Linked DNA regions of Macaca mulatta. The protein of the gene in region 1 purifies or fractionates together with the protein of each later gene. This does not show direct contact. Links are inferred from orthologs where the notes say so. Each region holds a gene or a part of one and is shown in the gene's direction. Other genes may lie near its edges. The genes, in order: JUP and DSG2.

The links.
Region 2: the proteins of JUP (region 1) and DSG2 purify together in Homo sapiens (affinity purification with western blotting; 3 studies listed by BioGRID and IntAct, with this or other methods). This does not show direct contact. The link is inferred for Macaca mulatta from reciprocal best matches to the Homo sapiens genes JUP and DSG2.

What each region holds. Positions count from the first base shown.
Region 1 is NC_133421.1:66,096,047-66,099,868, reverse strand, and holds part of JUP (junction plakoglobin), read left to right. Parts: intron 1-14; coding exon 15-253; intron 254-1,638; coding exon 1,639-1,840; intron 1,841-3,822. UniProt on the Homo sapiens protein: Common junctional plaque protein. The membrane-associated plaques are architectural elements in an important strategic position to influence the arrangement and function of both the cytoskeleton and the cells within the tissue.
Region 2 is NC_133423.1:60,985,018-60,988,839, reverse strand, and holds part of DSG2 (desmoglein-2), read left to right. Parts: coding exon 1-115; intron 116-980; coding exon 981-1,142; intron 1,143-1,288; coding exon 1,289-1,433; intron 1,434-2,276; coding exon 2,277-2,443; intron 2,444-3,822.

The sequences.
Region 1 (3,822 bases):
CCTTTGCCCTCCAGGTGGTGGTGACTAAGGCGGCCATGATTGTGAACCAGCTATCAAAGAAGGAGGCGTCGCGGCGGGCCCTGATGGGCTCACCCCAGCTGGTGGCCGCTGTCGTGCGCACCATGCAGAATACCAGTGACCTGGACACGGCCCGCTGTACCACCAGCATCCTGCACAACCTCTCCCACCACCGGGAGGGGCTGCTCGCCATCTTCAAGTCGGGCGGCATCCCTGCTCTGGTCCGCATGCTCAGGTACCCACCCCTGCTCAGTGCAGGAGTCCAGGACCCCGCCTCACTTGGGCCTCTCCCCTCCCTTCCCTGGGCTTCCATAAATACCCAGCGAGCAACTATCATGTGCCAGGCAGAGGCACACCCCATCCTGGTGCTCAGTGGCTCACAGCCCAGCAGGGAACACAGGCATGTAAACAGCAGGTTAATGATCAGGATATGACACAGGCTGTGGCAGAAGAGCATTGAGGTTGCTCAGAGGTGGAATCGCTTAATGGCAGGGGATTAACAGATGAGTGGAGTTTGGCTAGTGTGGAGGAACCGAAGAGTGTCCCAGGCAGAGGGAACAGCAAATGCAAAGTTCCTTACAAACTTTCTGTTTCTGGGCCCCCTACAAAATGTTGATTGGTCTCATTTCTCGTTTTTTTTGAGATGAGGTCTTGCTGTCGCCCAAGCTGGACTGCAGTGGCATGATCTCAGCTCACTGCAGCTTCCACCTCCCAGGTTTGAATATTCCTTCTGCCTCAGTCTCCTGAGTAGCTGGGATTACAAGTGTCTGCCACCATGCCCAGCTAATTTTTTTTTTTTTTTTTGAGACAGAGTTTTCCTCTTGTTGCCCAGGCTGGAGTGCAGTGGCGCAGTCTCAGCTCACTGCAACCTCCGCCTCCCGGGTTCAAGCGATTCTCCTGCCTTAGCCTCCCAAGTAGCAGGGATTACAGGTGCCCACCACCACGCCTGGCTAATTTTTGTATTTTTAGTAAAGATGGGGTTTCACCATGTTGGCCAGGCTAGTCTTGAACTCCTGACCTCAGGTGATCTGCCCGCCTTGGCCTCCCAAAGTGCTGGGATTATAGGCGTCTGCCACCATGTCGAGCTCAATTTTGTATTTTTAATAGAGACGGAGTTTCGCCACGTTGGCCAGGCTGGTCTCGAACTCCTAACCTCAGGTGATCCCCCGCCTCGGCCTCCCAAAGTGCTGAGATTACAGACGTGAGCCACCGCGCCTGGCCTCATTTCTCATCCCTATACCAGGCTGGGAGCTCCATGAAGGGGAGACACTGATTTCATTCCCCTCTGAACACCTTGCAAGGCCTCTCTAATATGTGGCCTTCCACATGGTAGTTACTTAGTAGGGATCAGTGTCTAGGGACCTGCTGTGTGCTCAGCACAGGGCTGGGGGCTCAGAAGCAGGAGGAGTCATTGTCTCAGTTGGGAGAAGACAGGTGCTGTTTGCTTCATGCTTAAGAGCCGGGCAGGCTCAAGGAGTGATGAGATTTTAGCAAAGGGATATTTCCAGAGGGGTGTCAGTAGTGGGGAGGCTTCCTGGGGGAGGTGGGAACCCATACCAGGCTCACATGTATGCCAGGCCCCTGGGACCTCGGCATACTAACCCCTGCCCACCCCCCCAGCTCCCCTGTGGAGTCGGTCCTGTTCTACGCCATCACCACGCTGCATAACCTGCTCCTGTACCAGGAGGGCGCCAAGATGGCCGTGCGCCTGGCTGACGGGCTGCAAAAGATGGTGCCCCTGCTCAACAAGAACAATCCCAAGTTCCTGGCCATCACCACCGACTGCCTGCAGCTCCTGGCCTACGGCAACCAGGAGAGCAAGGTGGGCCCTCCCCAACCCTCCTGAGGCCTGAAGCCCACCCTTGCGTCACCCTCTATCCTCCACAGCTTCGGGCTGCTGCCCCTTACTCCTTTTAGATGAGATATAGGGGCAGATGTGCATGCTTCATCATGCGACTGAATTGGTCAGAATTATTATTTTGAGCATAAGGAAAAAAAATCACTCATCCTCATACAGCCACTATTGTCATTTCGATATGCTCCGTTAAGAGCTGTTCTGTGGGCAGACTACAGATGTGTGCACATTCTTGTCATAACAATCTGCAACATTGCATCTGTTTTCTGCCTGCTTTTTTTTTTTTTTTTTTTTGAGACAGGGTCACCCAGGCTGGAGTGCAGTGGTGTAATCAGGGCTCACTGCAACCTTGACTTCCTGGGCTCAGATGATCCTCCCACCTCGGCCTCCAGAGTAGCTGGGACTTCAGGCATGTGCCACCATGCCCGACTAGTTCTTTTTTACTCTTCTTTTTTTTTTTTTTTTTTTTTGAGATGGAGTCTCACTCTGTCGCCTAGGCTGGAGTGCGGTGGCGCAATCTCAGCTGACTGCAACTTCCGCCTCCCGGGTTCAAGTGATTCTCCTGCCTCAGCCTCCCAAGTAGCTGGGATTACAGGTGCCCACCACTATGCTCAGCTAATTTTTGTATTTTTAGTAGAGACAAGGTTTCACCAGGTTGGCCAGGCTGGTCTCAAACTCCTGACCTTAGGTGATCCATCTGCCTTGGCCTCCCAAAGTGCTGGGATTACAGGCGTGAGCCACTGCACCGGGCCCCCGACTAATTTTTTGTAGAGGTGAGATTTCTCCATGTTGCCCAGGCTGGTCTCAAACTCCTAGGTTCAAGTGATCTGTCTGCCTTGGCCTCCCAAAGTGTCAGGATTACAGGTATGAGCCACTGTGTCTGGCCTGCATGATGTTTAAAAAAAATTGTTTTTGCTCTGTTGTCCTCAAAACCACCCTCTAATAATGACAGATTGCCTTTCCTTTCCCCTTTCCCCTTTCTTTTTCCTTTTCCTTTCCCTTTTCCTCTCTTCCTCTCTTTCTTCCTTCCTTCCCATTTCTTCCTTTTCTTTCTTTTTTGAGATAGGGTCTCACTGTGTTACCCAGGCTAGAGTACAGTGGCATGATCCTAGCTCACTGCAACCTCAAAATCCTGAGCTCAAGCATTCCTCCCACCTTAGCCTTCCTGATAACTAGGACTACAGAAACGTACCAATGAGCTAATTAGCACCTGGGCTAAGTTTTAAATTTTTTATGGGGATGGGGTCTTGCTCTGTTGCCCAGGCTACCCTCAAGGAATCCTCCTGCCTCAGCCTCCGAAATAGTGGGATTAAAGTCATGAGCCACCATACCTAGCCTACAGATAGCATTTCATTAAGTGGAGACCTTAGGCTTTATTCTGAGGGAGGGTATTTAGATTGCTCCTATTCCACCTTTATAAACAATGCTGTCTAACGAATTAACGAATGTCTTTGGGCATATAGCCTTTGTCAAAGAGTGGAAAAAATTCTCATTGATTTTTAACAGTTCTAGGCTTTTACCCAAATGGCCAGACTGATTTCCAGAAGGATTGGACTAATTTCCAGTGCCATAACTGGTAATGGATGTGCATATAGTTTTGTCACATCCTTGTCAGCACTAGGTATTATCCTTTTTTTCAAAATTTTGGCTTACATAACAGTCATGAAACTATTGGGGTGGGCTGGGTGTGGTGGCTCACGCCTGTAATCCCAGCACTTTGGGAGGCCGAGGTAGGTGAATTGCCTGAGGTCAGGAGTTTGAAACCAGCCTGGCCAACATAGTGAAACCCCATCCCCACCAAAAACACAGAAATTAGCCGGGCGTGGTGGCACATGCCTGTAATCCCAGCCACTTGGGAGGCTGAGGCATGAGAATTGCTTGAACCCAGGAGGCGAAGGTTGCAGTGAGCTGAGATCGTGCCACTGCTCTCCAGCCTGGGTGACACAGTG
Region 2 (3,822 bases), on another chromosome or scaffold:
AAATAAGCTGCTTCCTAAACATCCTCATTTAGTGCGGCAAAAGCGCGCCTGGATCACCGCCCCCGTGGCTCTTCGGGAGGGAGAGGATCTGTCCAAAAAGAATCCAATTGCCAAGGTATCTCCTAAAGAGGAACATGAAATATATGCATATGACTAAAATGTGGTATGAGAGGACTTTTATGTCTACTTTAAGATTTAAGGAAAATTTAGAATGTGCTTACAGAATTTTTAAATATTCAAGAGATATCTGAAAATTAGCAGAGCTTACTTTTTAGCATAAAGTATCAACTTTAAGATTCTCTTTCCTATTCCGGAAGATGCAGCATCATTGGCAAAAATATAGATAACTCTGAGCTTTGATTTAACTAAGAGTAAAGGGATTTGGCACTGGTAACACAGAGTGTTCAGTGCTCAAAAGAAGATGTCATAAAATGTCATTTTCAAGATGACCTGGTGTCTATTACTAGGTAAGGTGACCATCTTCATTTGCCTGAGACAGTCATGGTTCATGCCTGTTGTCCTGGCTTAATAATTAATATCTGTGTTTTCACTCTCAAGGGGTCGAGTTTTTTTGATAAATTATGTGATAGTGTTGCTACTCTGTATTTCAAAGTTGGCATGCACAAACATAAACCCTTCATTTTTCTCCCCCCAAAGCTTTTCTTCGTAAGTTCTACCCATTTTGGTAATTGATGCTATAATTCTCTCCCGTTTTTCAAGCCAAAAATGTACCACACACTATCAGTTCTATTCCAAAAATATATTCCAAATCTGCTGCTTCTCTTCAACTCCACTGTCATTCCCCTAGTCCAAGTCTTGTCATCTCTGGCCTGTATTACCAAAGAACTTCAGAAGGAAATTGTCCATACAAATATATACCTATAAATTACAGAGAATCTCTTCTCAGGCTTTTGGCTAAGATCAAATCTAGTAAATTACAGAGAGTTCAACCTGAAACATTCCTGTTATTTTTATGTTAGATACATTCTGATCTTACAGAAGAAAGAGGACTCAAAGTTACTTACAAATACACTGGAAAAGGGATTACAGAGCCACCTTTTGGTATATTTGTCTTTAATAAAGACACTGGAGAACTGAATATTACCAGCATTCTTGATCGAGAAGAAACACCATTTTTTCTGGTAAGAAGAATAATTTTACATTTATTAGTTTGTAGTTTTCCTTTCATAATAAGTATCATTTGTTTTTTTTTTTTTTTTCATAGTATGGTAATTTAGTTTTCTTAGCTTAAATCTAATCTTATTTATTATTTATGTCATGATTTCAGCTAACAGGTTACGCTTTGGATGAAAGAGGAAACAATGTAGAGAAACCCTTAGAGCTACGCATTAAGGTTCTCGATATCAATGACAATGAACCAGTGTTCACACAGGATGTCTTTGTTGGGTCTGTTGAAGAGTTGAGTGCAGCACGTAAGAGTCTTTTTTTTTTTTTTTTAAATAAATACTAAGATTATTTTATCCCTGCTGTAAATAAACACTAAATTTCATATCTTAGTGAAAGTTGAGTATTACCTACAGAACAAATAAGAAACCTTTCACTCTAGGTTGAGAATTGCTTTCCTTATAGGTTTAAAGGACTTTACATGCCATTGCTTTTACCCTCAGAACAGATAGGGTAGATTAATGTGACAGATAAGGTGTCTGTAGCAACTACTCAACTCTGCTCTCTGCAGGAAAGCACCATAGACAATATGTAAACAAATGAGCCTAGCTGTGTTCCAATAAAACTTTATTTACAAAAACAGGCGGCTGGTTAGCTTTGGCCCTACAGCTTTGGCTATAGTTTGCTGACCTATAACTTGTATTATTTTTACTGTAAGGTTTATTCACAACATTGTTCAACACAGTGCTCTTCATGAGGACTCGAATGAGAGATTTCTTTTGGACCATGATATAAAGAATAGTTACGCTTCTCCTGATTTGTTTGTATCTTAATAAATATCAGGATCGTGTACCTGTTCATGTTACTTTCTTTGTATTGGCTACTAATACTATTATAAAGAAATCTGTCACCTTATATAGCAATTTTTCAGGACTCCACCCTCAGCCTTGCCTTCATCTTGTTTTTCCTGCTGTTGTATTCCATTCACGCTTACGTCCTCATCCAGTTAAATGTTATATTGTGGTCAACTGCATGTGATTTTGATAAGCACCTGAAATCTTTTTTGGAACAAGCTAAAATTATAAATAAAATAACAGGTAAGTGTGTTTAAAGTTGCGTTTCATCTTAGACATCTTTATTTCCAATGCCAGATACACTTGTGATGAAAATCAATGCAACAGATGCAGATGAGCCCAATACCCTGAATTCTAAAATTTCCTATAGGATCGTATCTCTGGAGCCTGCTTATCCTCCAGTGTTCTACCTAAATAAAGATACAGGAGAGATTTATACAACCAGTGTTACCTTGGACAGAGAGGTAAATTAATATGTTATGTTGCCCATCTTTAAACTCTGTATCCTTTCCAGTTTCTCCTCTCTTTTTCTTATTTTGTTCTGTATTCCTTATCCATAGGATAACTCTTGGAATTACTCTCTTTTAGGGATGGGCTGTTCAATATGGGCCATGTGACTATTGAGCACTTAAAATGTGACTGACCCAAATTGTAATGTGCTGTATGCGTGTTGAATGTGTAATATAGGCACCAGATTTGAAAAACTTAATATGAAAAATGCAGAATATGACGTTAATGTTTTTCGTGATCATTGCATGTTAAAATAATATTTTAGATATCATGGATTACATAAAATATACTTGTTTAAAATTGTTATCACATGTTTCTTTTTAAAATGTGACTACTAGAAGATTTAAAATTACATAAAGACAGCACCCTTCTAGGGCCTCTCCTATCAGGGTTTTGTTTACTAGAGATTCCTAAAACATTTCTCAGTTTGCAGTTCTCTAACGAAACATTAGGAGGCTCCTACACTGCTAGTACATAGGAGACGGTGAGGAAAGGGATGAAAACAGGAATCCTAGTTAGAGGATAAAGTATCTGTAAAGGAGAGAATTACTCTAAATCCCAAATTGAAGGAAAATTTGAGTAGGTTTACTAGGAAGGCGTTTCTCTCAAAGATTTCACTTTGTTTAACTCAAAGGGAAATTTTTAAATAAAAAGGGGAGATCGAAGATTTTTTAAATGATGTATACATAAAGGTTTTAACAGGGTACAAGAGTAAAGTGTCATTGATCCTAAAGATACACTCTTTGTCATCAGATATAAATCATCATCCAAATGCATTACGTTCAGTATTTCTTAGAAAAATGATTTAATTCTGCCCAAATTGGAAGGATTGCGCCCAATAGGCTTAAGGGGATGTTTGTAAAATTAAAGAATATGATTCATCTAAAATTCTACTCTATACCTTTTCACATAAAATTAGAATGGAAACGTGTTACTTTGCATTGGTAGTGTGATTTTTAACAAGCTGCTGTTTCTAAAGGACAGAAAGTTTAACCAATAATAATGGCTGTTAACTTACTGGGCATTTACCTTCTGCCAGGTACTGTTCTAAGCCTTTTTATGGATTAACCCATTTAATCCACATAGAAACCCTGTGAGGCAGATTCACTTATTATCCTCATCTTATACATAAAGAACCCAAAGGTCAAAGGGATTAAGTGCGTGTCCAACACAGTCAGTAAGTGACAATGCCAGAATTGGAACCCAGGCAGCTGGCTCCAGGGTCCTGGTGTCCTGCTGTGCAATGAGTGCTTCTGCCCTATGCAGGACCCCAAGCCCTGGCACTACCTGCCATCCTAAATTCCAGCCACACTGAACAGAACCATAGTAAGGA